Rattus norvegicus: one gene and its partner. Each later gene encodes a partner of the first gene's protein in a complex. Links are inferred from orthologs where the notes say so. Each region holds a gene or a part of one and is shown in the gene's direction. Other genes may lie near its edges.

What was found. The genes of interacting proteins can lie anywhere in the genome.
Region 2: Pold1 (region 1) and Pold4 share a complex: the UniProt entries of both Homo sapiens proteins name them as parts of the tetrameric DNA polymerase delta complex. The link is inferred for Rattus norvegicus from reciprocal best matches to the Homo sapiens genes POLD1 and POLD4.

The regions. Positions count from the first base shown.
Region 1 is NC_086019.1:104,164,706-104,168,563, reverse strand, and holds part of Pold1 (DNA polymerase delta catalytic subunit), read left to right. Parts: intron 1-156; coding exon 157-348; intron 349-427; coding exon 428-516; intron 517-678; coding exon 679-795; intron 796-1,081; coding exon 1,082-1,195; intron 1,196-1,440; coding exon 1,441-1,588; intron 1,589-3,258; coding exon 3,259-3,354; intron 3,355-3,458; coding exon 3,459-3,596; intron 3,597-3,858. UniProt on the Homo sapiens protein: As the catalytic component of the trimeric (Pol-delta3 complex) and tetrameric DNA polymerase delta complexes (Pol-delta4 complex), plays a crucial role in high fidelity genome replication, including in lagging strand synthesis, and repair.
Region 2 is NC_086019.1:210,954,433-210,958,532, forward strand, and holds Pold4 (DNA polymerase delta subunit 4), read left to right. Parts: upstream 1-1,761; 5' UTR 1,762-1,884; coding exon 1,885-1,981; intron 1,982-2,256; coding exon 2,257-2,346; intron 2,347-2,539; coding exon 2,540-2,651; intron 2,652-3,011; coding exon 3,012-3,036; 3' UTR 3,037-3,195; coding exon of another isoform or gene 3,196-3,220; 3' UTR 3,221-3,431; downstream 3,432-4,100. UniProt on the Homo sapiens protein: As a component of the tetrameric DNA polymerase delta complex (Pol-delta4), plays a role in high fidelity genome replication and repair.

The DNA.
Region 1 (3,858 bases):
TGCCTGAGTCCCTGCCTGTGCCCCCGCCGCCTCACCCCGCCTGAGCTCCTGCCTGAGCCCCTGCCTCATCCCTGCCTGAGCTCCTTACTGAGCCCCTGCCTCACCCCTGCCTGAGCCCCCGCTGAGCCCTTGACCCCACATGCCCATCATCCCCAGAATGGGAATGAACAGACGCGTCGCCGCCTGGCCGTGTACTGCCTGAAGGATGCCTTTCTGCCTCTTCGCCTACTCGAGCGCCTTATGGTGCTGGTGAACAATGTGGAGATGGCGCGTGTCACTGGTGTACCCCTTGGGTACCTGCTCAGCCGAGGCCAGCAGGTCAAGGTCGTGTCTCAGCTGCTGCGCCAGGTGAGTGGCTGGCCCGATCGGCCACACAGGTGTACACACCCTACCTGGTTCCCGGATACTCACGCCACCCTTTCTCTAGGCCATGCGCCAGGGGCTGCTGATGCCTGTGGTGAAGACGGAGGGAGGTGAGGACTACACGGGAGCCACTGTCATTGAGCCCCTCAAAGGGTAAGGACCCTGCTGGGCACAGTGGGGCATTTGTCATCCCAGCACTTGGGAGGAGTTCAAGGCCAGCCCGGACTACTTGAGATCCTGTACATAAGAATGTTAAAATGTCAGGGCCCAAGGGTAGGGGCTGGGTGGGGCTGACTTCCCCAAATTCTCCCTCAGGTACTATGATGTCCCCATTGCCACCCTGGACTTCTCCTCTCTGTACCCATCCATCATGATGGCCCACAATCTGTGCTACACCACATTGCTACGGCCTGGGGCTGCCCAGAAGTTGGGGTATGCTGCCTTTATCCAGGATGCCCCCCCAAACCACCCTGAGCCCTGGTTTCACGGCTTGATAAATCAGGCTCAGGAATCAGGTCCACGGAAAGGGAGACAGGGGAGTCAGGGATTCCACAGGCTGTGGATGCAGCTAATGGAGAGGCCGGCCTAGGGGAGGCTGAAGCAGGTCCTGGGGGAGGTTTGCAGAGAGAGGTAGGCCTGGGGGAAGCTGGGGAAAGACAGGCCATGGGGGATCTAGGTAGTTCAGAAGCCCAGCCTCCTGTGTTTCCTCCTTCCCCAGCCTTAAACCAGATGAGTTCATCAAGACACCCACTGGGGATGAGTTTGTGAAGGCATCTGTGCGGAAGGGCCTCCTGCCCCAAATCCTGGAGAATCTGCTGAGTGCCCGGAAGAGGTGGGCTGTGGGCTCTGCTCTATGCTCAGATCCCTGTGCTGACTTAGCCCTGGTATTCTGTGGCTGTGGCTGTGTTAAATGAGGCGCCTTTCCAGGCGTCACCCTTGTGTCTAGCCGGCCTGCGTTCTGAGCAGCGCACAGCGCCTCTGCTATATTTGGCACCCCTCCCTGATCGGTGTCCATGCCTGGGTGCCTCCCAGAGAACCATGGTCCCCTTGAATAGCCTTCATCCCGCCTCCACCTAGGGCCAAGGCTGAGCTGGCTCAGGAGACGGACCCCCTGCGGCGACAGGTCTTGGATGGACGGCAGCTGGCACTAAAAGTGAGTGCCAACTCTGTGTATGGCTTCACTGGTGCCCAGGTGGGCAAGCTGCCGTGTTTGGAGATCTCCCAGGTGAGCCCTTGGGACCCTGATGGGCGACTGGGGTTACTGCCCTGCATTGAGGGGTCAGATGGGTCAGGGGGTATGGCAGTATGTCACCAATGTGAGACCATGCTCTGTGCCCTATGCATAGTCATCAGAGACCAGAGCACCTGTCCTTGGTACTTCTCGCTCACAGGCTAGTAGGACAGGGACTCTGTGGTCAGGTAATGTTTCTGGCTCAGTAGCTTACAGGGCTCTGCCAGTGACTCAGGTGAGGAAAGTGCTCAGGACGCTGGGTCACTGGGCTTCCCTGCCCTAGCAGCTGCCCCTCCGGTCACCTCTTCCACATCCCTGTGGAGGTGGGGGGGGGGCACGGCCAGGCTGGATTCAGTGGGTCACTTGATGGCCTCTGTCCCAAGTGTGAGGACTCTAGTGAGGACCGTGGCTAGCACCAGCTGGGACAGGAGTAGAAAAGAACTGCCCCACCTCCCTGGCCAACATGGCAGCACTGGGTTCAGTCAGAAACAGAGTAACAGTGAGAGAGTATGAGGCCTGAAGTGCAGCCATGCATGGTCTGTGGACGATCCTGTTGTGAGGGGGCCTGAGGTGCTGCTACCCAATCTGGTCATAGTCCTGGTACTTGGCTGTCTCAGCAGTGAGGAGCGATGTGTCAGGAGCACTTAGCCAGGGAGTGTCCAGAACGAGGGGGCAGGGTTTTCACAGGATGGGTTACAGGGTAGAGGCTGAGTGCCTAACACAAGCTGCTGCTCACTCCAGCTCCCATAATCCCAGAGTCCCTGTTACCTCCTCTTGTGAGCAGAGATCTGTGGTGTGACTCAAGGGCTCGGGGAAGATGAGTGCCTGGAAGGATGCCCAGGCACTCAGAGGGTGTCTCCCAGGAGCTGGGCCCCTGGCCAGGCCCGCCCGCCCGCTTGCCCTCCTGCCCTCCTGCCCTCCTGCCTGCCTGCCATCCTCACTCCTAGCATCCCACAGAGATGGGGTGGGTGTTGGGACCTTAGGCCAAAGGAGCCACTGGTAAATAACCCTGTCTGTCTCTCACACCTCTCATGGGGGAACAGCAAGCTACTGAGTCATTCCAGAATAAAATTGAGAAAAGGGAGCACAGAGCAGGTGCACAGAGACAAGTCAGGTGTGGGCTCCTCGGATGTCCCATGACCTCATGAAACCCGGGCAGACAGAGAGCATTCTGCTCGTCACGCCCCGCTACCCAGCCAGCCCCATCCCCATCTGTAAAATAACAGACATCAGGGTGTGGTGATGTCAGCCTGTACTTGCATTTGTTTGTGAGGCTGCGAGGCCGGGGGAGAGACCTGTCTAGGCTTCAGGGAGTTCAGAGCTGGGTAGCTTACACCCTATCTTGAAATAAAAGAAGACTGGGGATATAGTTCAATGGTTTAGCCCCTGCTTAAAATCTCCCAGTGAGGGGCTGGGTGTGCCCAGTGGTAGAGCCTCTGCTCACTCTACCATTCTACTGAGACCCAGGCTGCACTCCCAGAGAGGGAGTGGCTCCTTGTCCCCCAAGAATGTACACACTTTGGAGCAGCAGTCACCTGTTTGATACACCTGCCTGCGGTGTATGGTCCGTGATGCTTGAAAGTGGCAGGGGTGAGTCCTCCCCAAGCTGGATCCACTGTGTACAGCATCTGTCTTCTCACTCTCCCTGGTTTTGCTCCTAATAGAGTGTCACTGGGTTCGGGCGGCAGATGATTGAGAAAACCAAGCAGCTAGTGGAGACCAAGTACACTCTGGAAAATGGCTACGATGCTAATGCCAAGGTCAGGGCCTGGTCACACCTGCCCGCTCTCTGGGGTCCCTGGGCTTCCTTCCATGGCAGCTCCTGGGTTGAGAAGAGACATCCTTCACACATGTACCCTGGCAGGTGGTCTACGGTGACACTGACTCTGTGATGTGCCGATTTGGTGTCTCCTCTGTGGCTGAGGCAATGTCTCTGGGGCGGGAGGCTGCAAACTGGGTATCCAGTCACTTCCCATCACCCATCCGGCTGGAGTTCGAGAAGGTGCGTGTGTCCCCTGTACTTGGCTCAGTGGAGATATTAGGGGTCTTATAGATTAGCGATGATCTCTTACTACTTGCATCCCTGCAGAGGCCAACAGTGCAGTAGTGTGGGGGTCCCTAGGCTGGAAGCCTTGCAGTGTTCTGGGGTCTAGCTGAGGCCTCTGTTGGATCTGCATGTGTGTGGCTCTGGGTGCTGGACATTGCCTCCAGTCCTCACCAATGCTCGGACACCCCTGGCTGCTCATCCAGGGCCTTCTCAGCTC
Region 2 (4,100 bases), about 110 Mb from region 1:
GGCCTTTTAGGAGGAGTGGTCAGTCCCATAAAGCCTAGGAGCTACCCCACTATAGGGCACTTGGCCTGAGTAGACCTAATACCTTTCCCTTTTGAATAGAGAATCCTCTCTGTCCCCCTTCTCAACTCTGTGGGGTTTCTTCTCCTAGATGTGGGCTCCACTGTCCAGGAGACAGATGGAGTTATCAGACTTGGGACACCCCAGACAGTGGGTCAGAGAAAGGTATTCCAGGTCTTTGTAGTTGTGCCCGCATCTCCCTCTTCTTCCAAAAGCTAATGGGGGAAGGCTAGGCAAGAGGAGACCCTGGAGACACACCCTTCTGCCCACCACTGCTAGGCTCCTCTCTGGAGTGACCCTCCTCTCTGCCTCCACACACACGGGAGGCCAGCTGAGTGCTTCCTAAGCTAGATCTCAGAACTTCTGAAAAGGAGGGCAAAGGCCTCTAATCCATAGACCTTGCACCCCTGGAAGGAAGAACCGGATGGGCGCTCCAGAGGGTGATTAGTGCTGGGTCAGTCCCAGTGCTGGTTCCCAGACTCCCACAGGCCAACACTTTCACCCGCTGCCAGGAAGTTGGTGAGGGGGAGGTGGTAGTACGGGTGAGTCAGCGATGACAGGAGCCCCAAAACAAAGGTCATGGGTAGAAAATTGAGAGACACTGTTTACAGCAATTACCTTCTGGAGGTCTTCTCCCAGTGCCTACCATCCTCCTCTAGCTCTGAGGAGTTCTTACTCCTGCTCTTCTGTCCAGGCCTGACAACTGTGTTTGACCCTATACCTTGTAAGCTTGGGAGCTTCTAGAGCACAAGGAAGGCTAGTTAGTTACACAGTATCTGTGACTAAGAGTACTGATCACAATTTGCCTACACTTCCCACTTGCAAAAACCTCTTTTGATATCTATTTTGAATTAGCATGTGGGAGATGCTTAGAACTTGGCACATGGTAAATCCAATATGAAGGTTAGGTTTATTGAAATTATTTTCTGTTCGTGATACACATTCAGAAAACAAAAACAAAAACAAGAAAAAACAGAGCAGATCTGTCCATTAAGAACTGGGAATATGAACCCATGGAGAGTGGGGACTATATTTCTGGTGTCTTCCTTGGAATGGAATCTTCCTGACTAGCAAAGGGGACAGAGGCAGGCTGTGGGACTTGACAGCAGGCACAGCAACCGTATGCCTGGGTTGAGTGAACAGTGTCTCTGCCAGCAGACTGTGAGAAAGGAGCCTTCTGAGCGCATGGGTTTCTTCAGCAAGGTCTCCTGGGGCCAGTAGGAGCAGGGAAGGACCTGGTCAAGTCCAAACTCTCTTTGGACCTACAGATCTGATCCCACAGCGCTCTAGGGCCAACCGGCAGGAGTAAAAGGTTCTCAGGGGACTTACAAACTGGCCACGGGGATTAGTGAGGCTGAAAAGAACATTTGCCTAGGAAGGAAAAACGGGAAGTGAGAGGCCGAGGATAACTCTCTATACGTCCCTGGGGACCCAAGTAGACCAATGAGAAACCCGAGGAGGTGGTGAAGTCTGGGGCATCTTGACAGGTTCTTGGTTCCGCCTAACCCCTCCTCAATCGGAACGCAGCAGCAGCTACCCCGCCCCCTGCTTCTGCCGATTGCCATTGGCTAGAATTAAGGCCCCGCCCCGCAAAGGCCGTTTGCCATTTGCTTAGGTCTCTGATGTTTGCATGCTTGTGGGGGCGGAAGACAGGCGTCATTCCCTGGAACTTAAGGACTTCCTCTCTATGCTTGTCTGGGTCAACTTGTCTGTCCATTGCTGGCCTATCTTTCTCTGGCCCCCTCTCTCACTCTCAGCAGCTGTCTCTCACAGGCCCGCTGCCCTGCCTTTTCTTTGCCTCCTGCTCCGCCTGCCTGGGTGGCCGCCATGGGTCGGAAGCGGTTCATCACAGACTCCTACCCTGTTGTGAAGAAGAGGGAGGGGCCCCCTGGGCACAACAAGGGGGAGCTGGCACCCGAGCTAGGTCTCTGAAATGTGGGGGTGGCAGGGAGAAATGGACATGAAGTGACCAGAAAGGACTCTGTGTGTGTGTGTGTGTGTGTGTGTGTGTGTGTGTGTGTGTGTGTGTGTGTGTGTGTTGGCTAAAAGGAGAAGCTAGCATGTCTCGCACTTCCGATGAGCTGTCTGTCTGCCCGATGGCAAAGGCAAACGAGTGGGGAGATAGCCAAGAAATAGAGGCACAGCTCTGAGTCCAGGGCAAAGGCCTGGATGAGCCTGAGGAGCCACATGTTATTGCAGGGGAAGACACCCAGTCCCTCAGCCAGGAGGAAACAGAGCTGGAGTTGCTGAGGCAGTTTGACCTGGCCTGGCAGTATGGGCCTTGCACAGGTGAGAACCCCATTTCCGGCCCCTCCCATTAGGCACAGTTCTGTCATCAATGTGCCTCAGAAGTAGTCCAAGTGCCTGCCTAACTCTTGGACACCTGTTTCCTGAGACTGACGTATGTAGGCTCAAGAAACTGCCCTCTGTATTCTCTAGCCCAGACTCCCCTGCCCATCCTGACTTCTTTCCCCGGTGGTAGGTATCACAAGGCTGCAGCGCTGGCATCGGGCAGAGCAGATGGGCTTGAAGCCCCCCGTAGAGGTGTACCAAGTGTTGAAGACACATCCTGAAGACTCTCGCTTCCAATGCAGGTCAGGACAAGCTGGGACAGCCTTCAGGGAAACCAGGCACTTCTCCAAGGGTTGCCACCCTCTTGGTCTATGTAGGGGCTGCCTTGACTTGGAGAAATGGGTACAGACTTAGAGAGTCCTTCCTGACAAGCAAAAAGGGTCTTCTAGGTGCCTGGCTTGAGACAGTTCTCTACAATGACCTTACCTCTATGAGCTAATGGTGGGGGAAGAGTATATCTAGGGCCCATGGGGCTATCCATGCATACTGGGGTGTTCACCAGAGCCACAGAACGATAGGCAATAGTTACGAACTAGAGATAGTCCATCAGGGAACAGAGCCAACTTGGTTATGCATTCCTTCTCCCACCCTGTCTTCCACAGCCTCTGGCATCTCTACCCACTCTGAGGTACCACCTAGGTTGTCCCCTTGGCATCTCCTAGCCACCAAGAACTTCAGGGCAGACATCATGGCTTTCTCTGATCACCATTCCATTTTTGGATAACAAGTTAGCAGGCTGACTTTGGAGGTCTTCCTGGTCCAGCTTCTTATCTGTCTACACAACAGGCTACTGAAGCTCCTGGGGACCTGAGAAGCCGAGCAGAGCACCTCCAAGCTCTAATCATGAGCACTAGATGTCTGCCACACCCTCTCTGACCTATGGTGTGGCAAATCCAGCACAGTCTGGCATAAAGCCAGATGTAGTCAGGGCCCACCTAGGGCATCTTGCTGAGAACACAACTGGCTGAGTTCTTAATCAAAAAGTTCACTAATGCTTACAATAAAGTATATTAAGCCTGAAATCCTGACTTTAGTCTCTTAATATGCCCTACTCTAGCTGGCAGTTCCCAAAATGTAAGTAGTCTGGAGAGCCAGCAACAGCTTTTTATTTTATTTTATTTTATTTTTTGGTTGGTTGGTTGTTTTGAAACAGTTTCTCTGTGTTATCCTGGTCCTGGAACTTACTCTGTAGACTAGGTTGGCCACAAACTCAGAGATCTTCCTGCCTCGATTCCTGAATTTTGAGATTAAAGGGTTTCAATATGGGGGGGGGGGGAGAGACACTATGATCAGAATGTAAAGTGAATAAATTAATTAATGGGGAAAAAGGTCTCATAATATGGTCCTGTCTGTCCCAGAACTCACTCTATAGACCAGGTTGGTCTCTCTCTCTCTCTTTTTTTTTTTTTAAAGATTTTATTTTATTTATATGAGTACACTGTTGCTGTCTTCAGACACACCAGAAGAGGGCATCAGATCCCATTACAGATGGTTGTGAGCCACCATGTGGTTGCTGGGAATTGAACTCAGGACCTCTGGAAGAGCAGTCAGTGCTCTTAACTGCTGAGCCATCTCTCCAGCCCCCAGGTTGGTCTCTTAACTCACAGAAATCTACCTGTCTTTGTCACCCAAGTGCTGGGATTAAAGGCTCATGTTTCTTTCTACCCCACCAGGCTTCCGTATCTATTTTT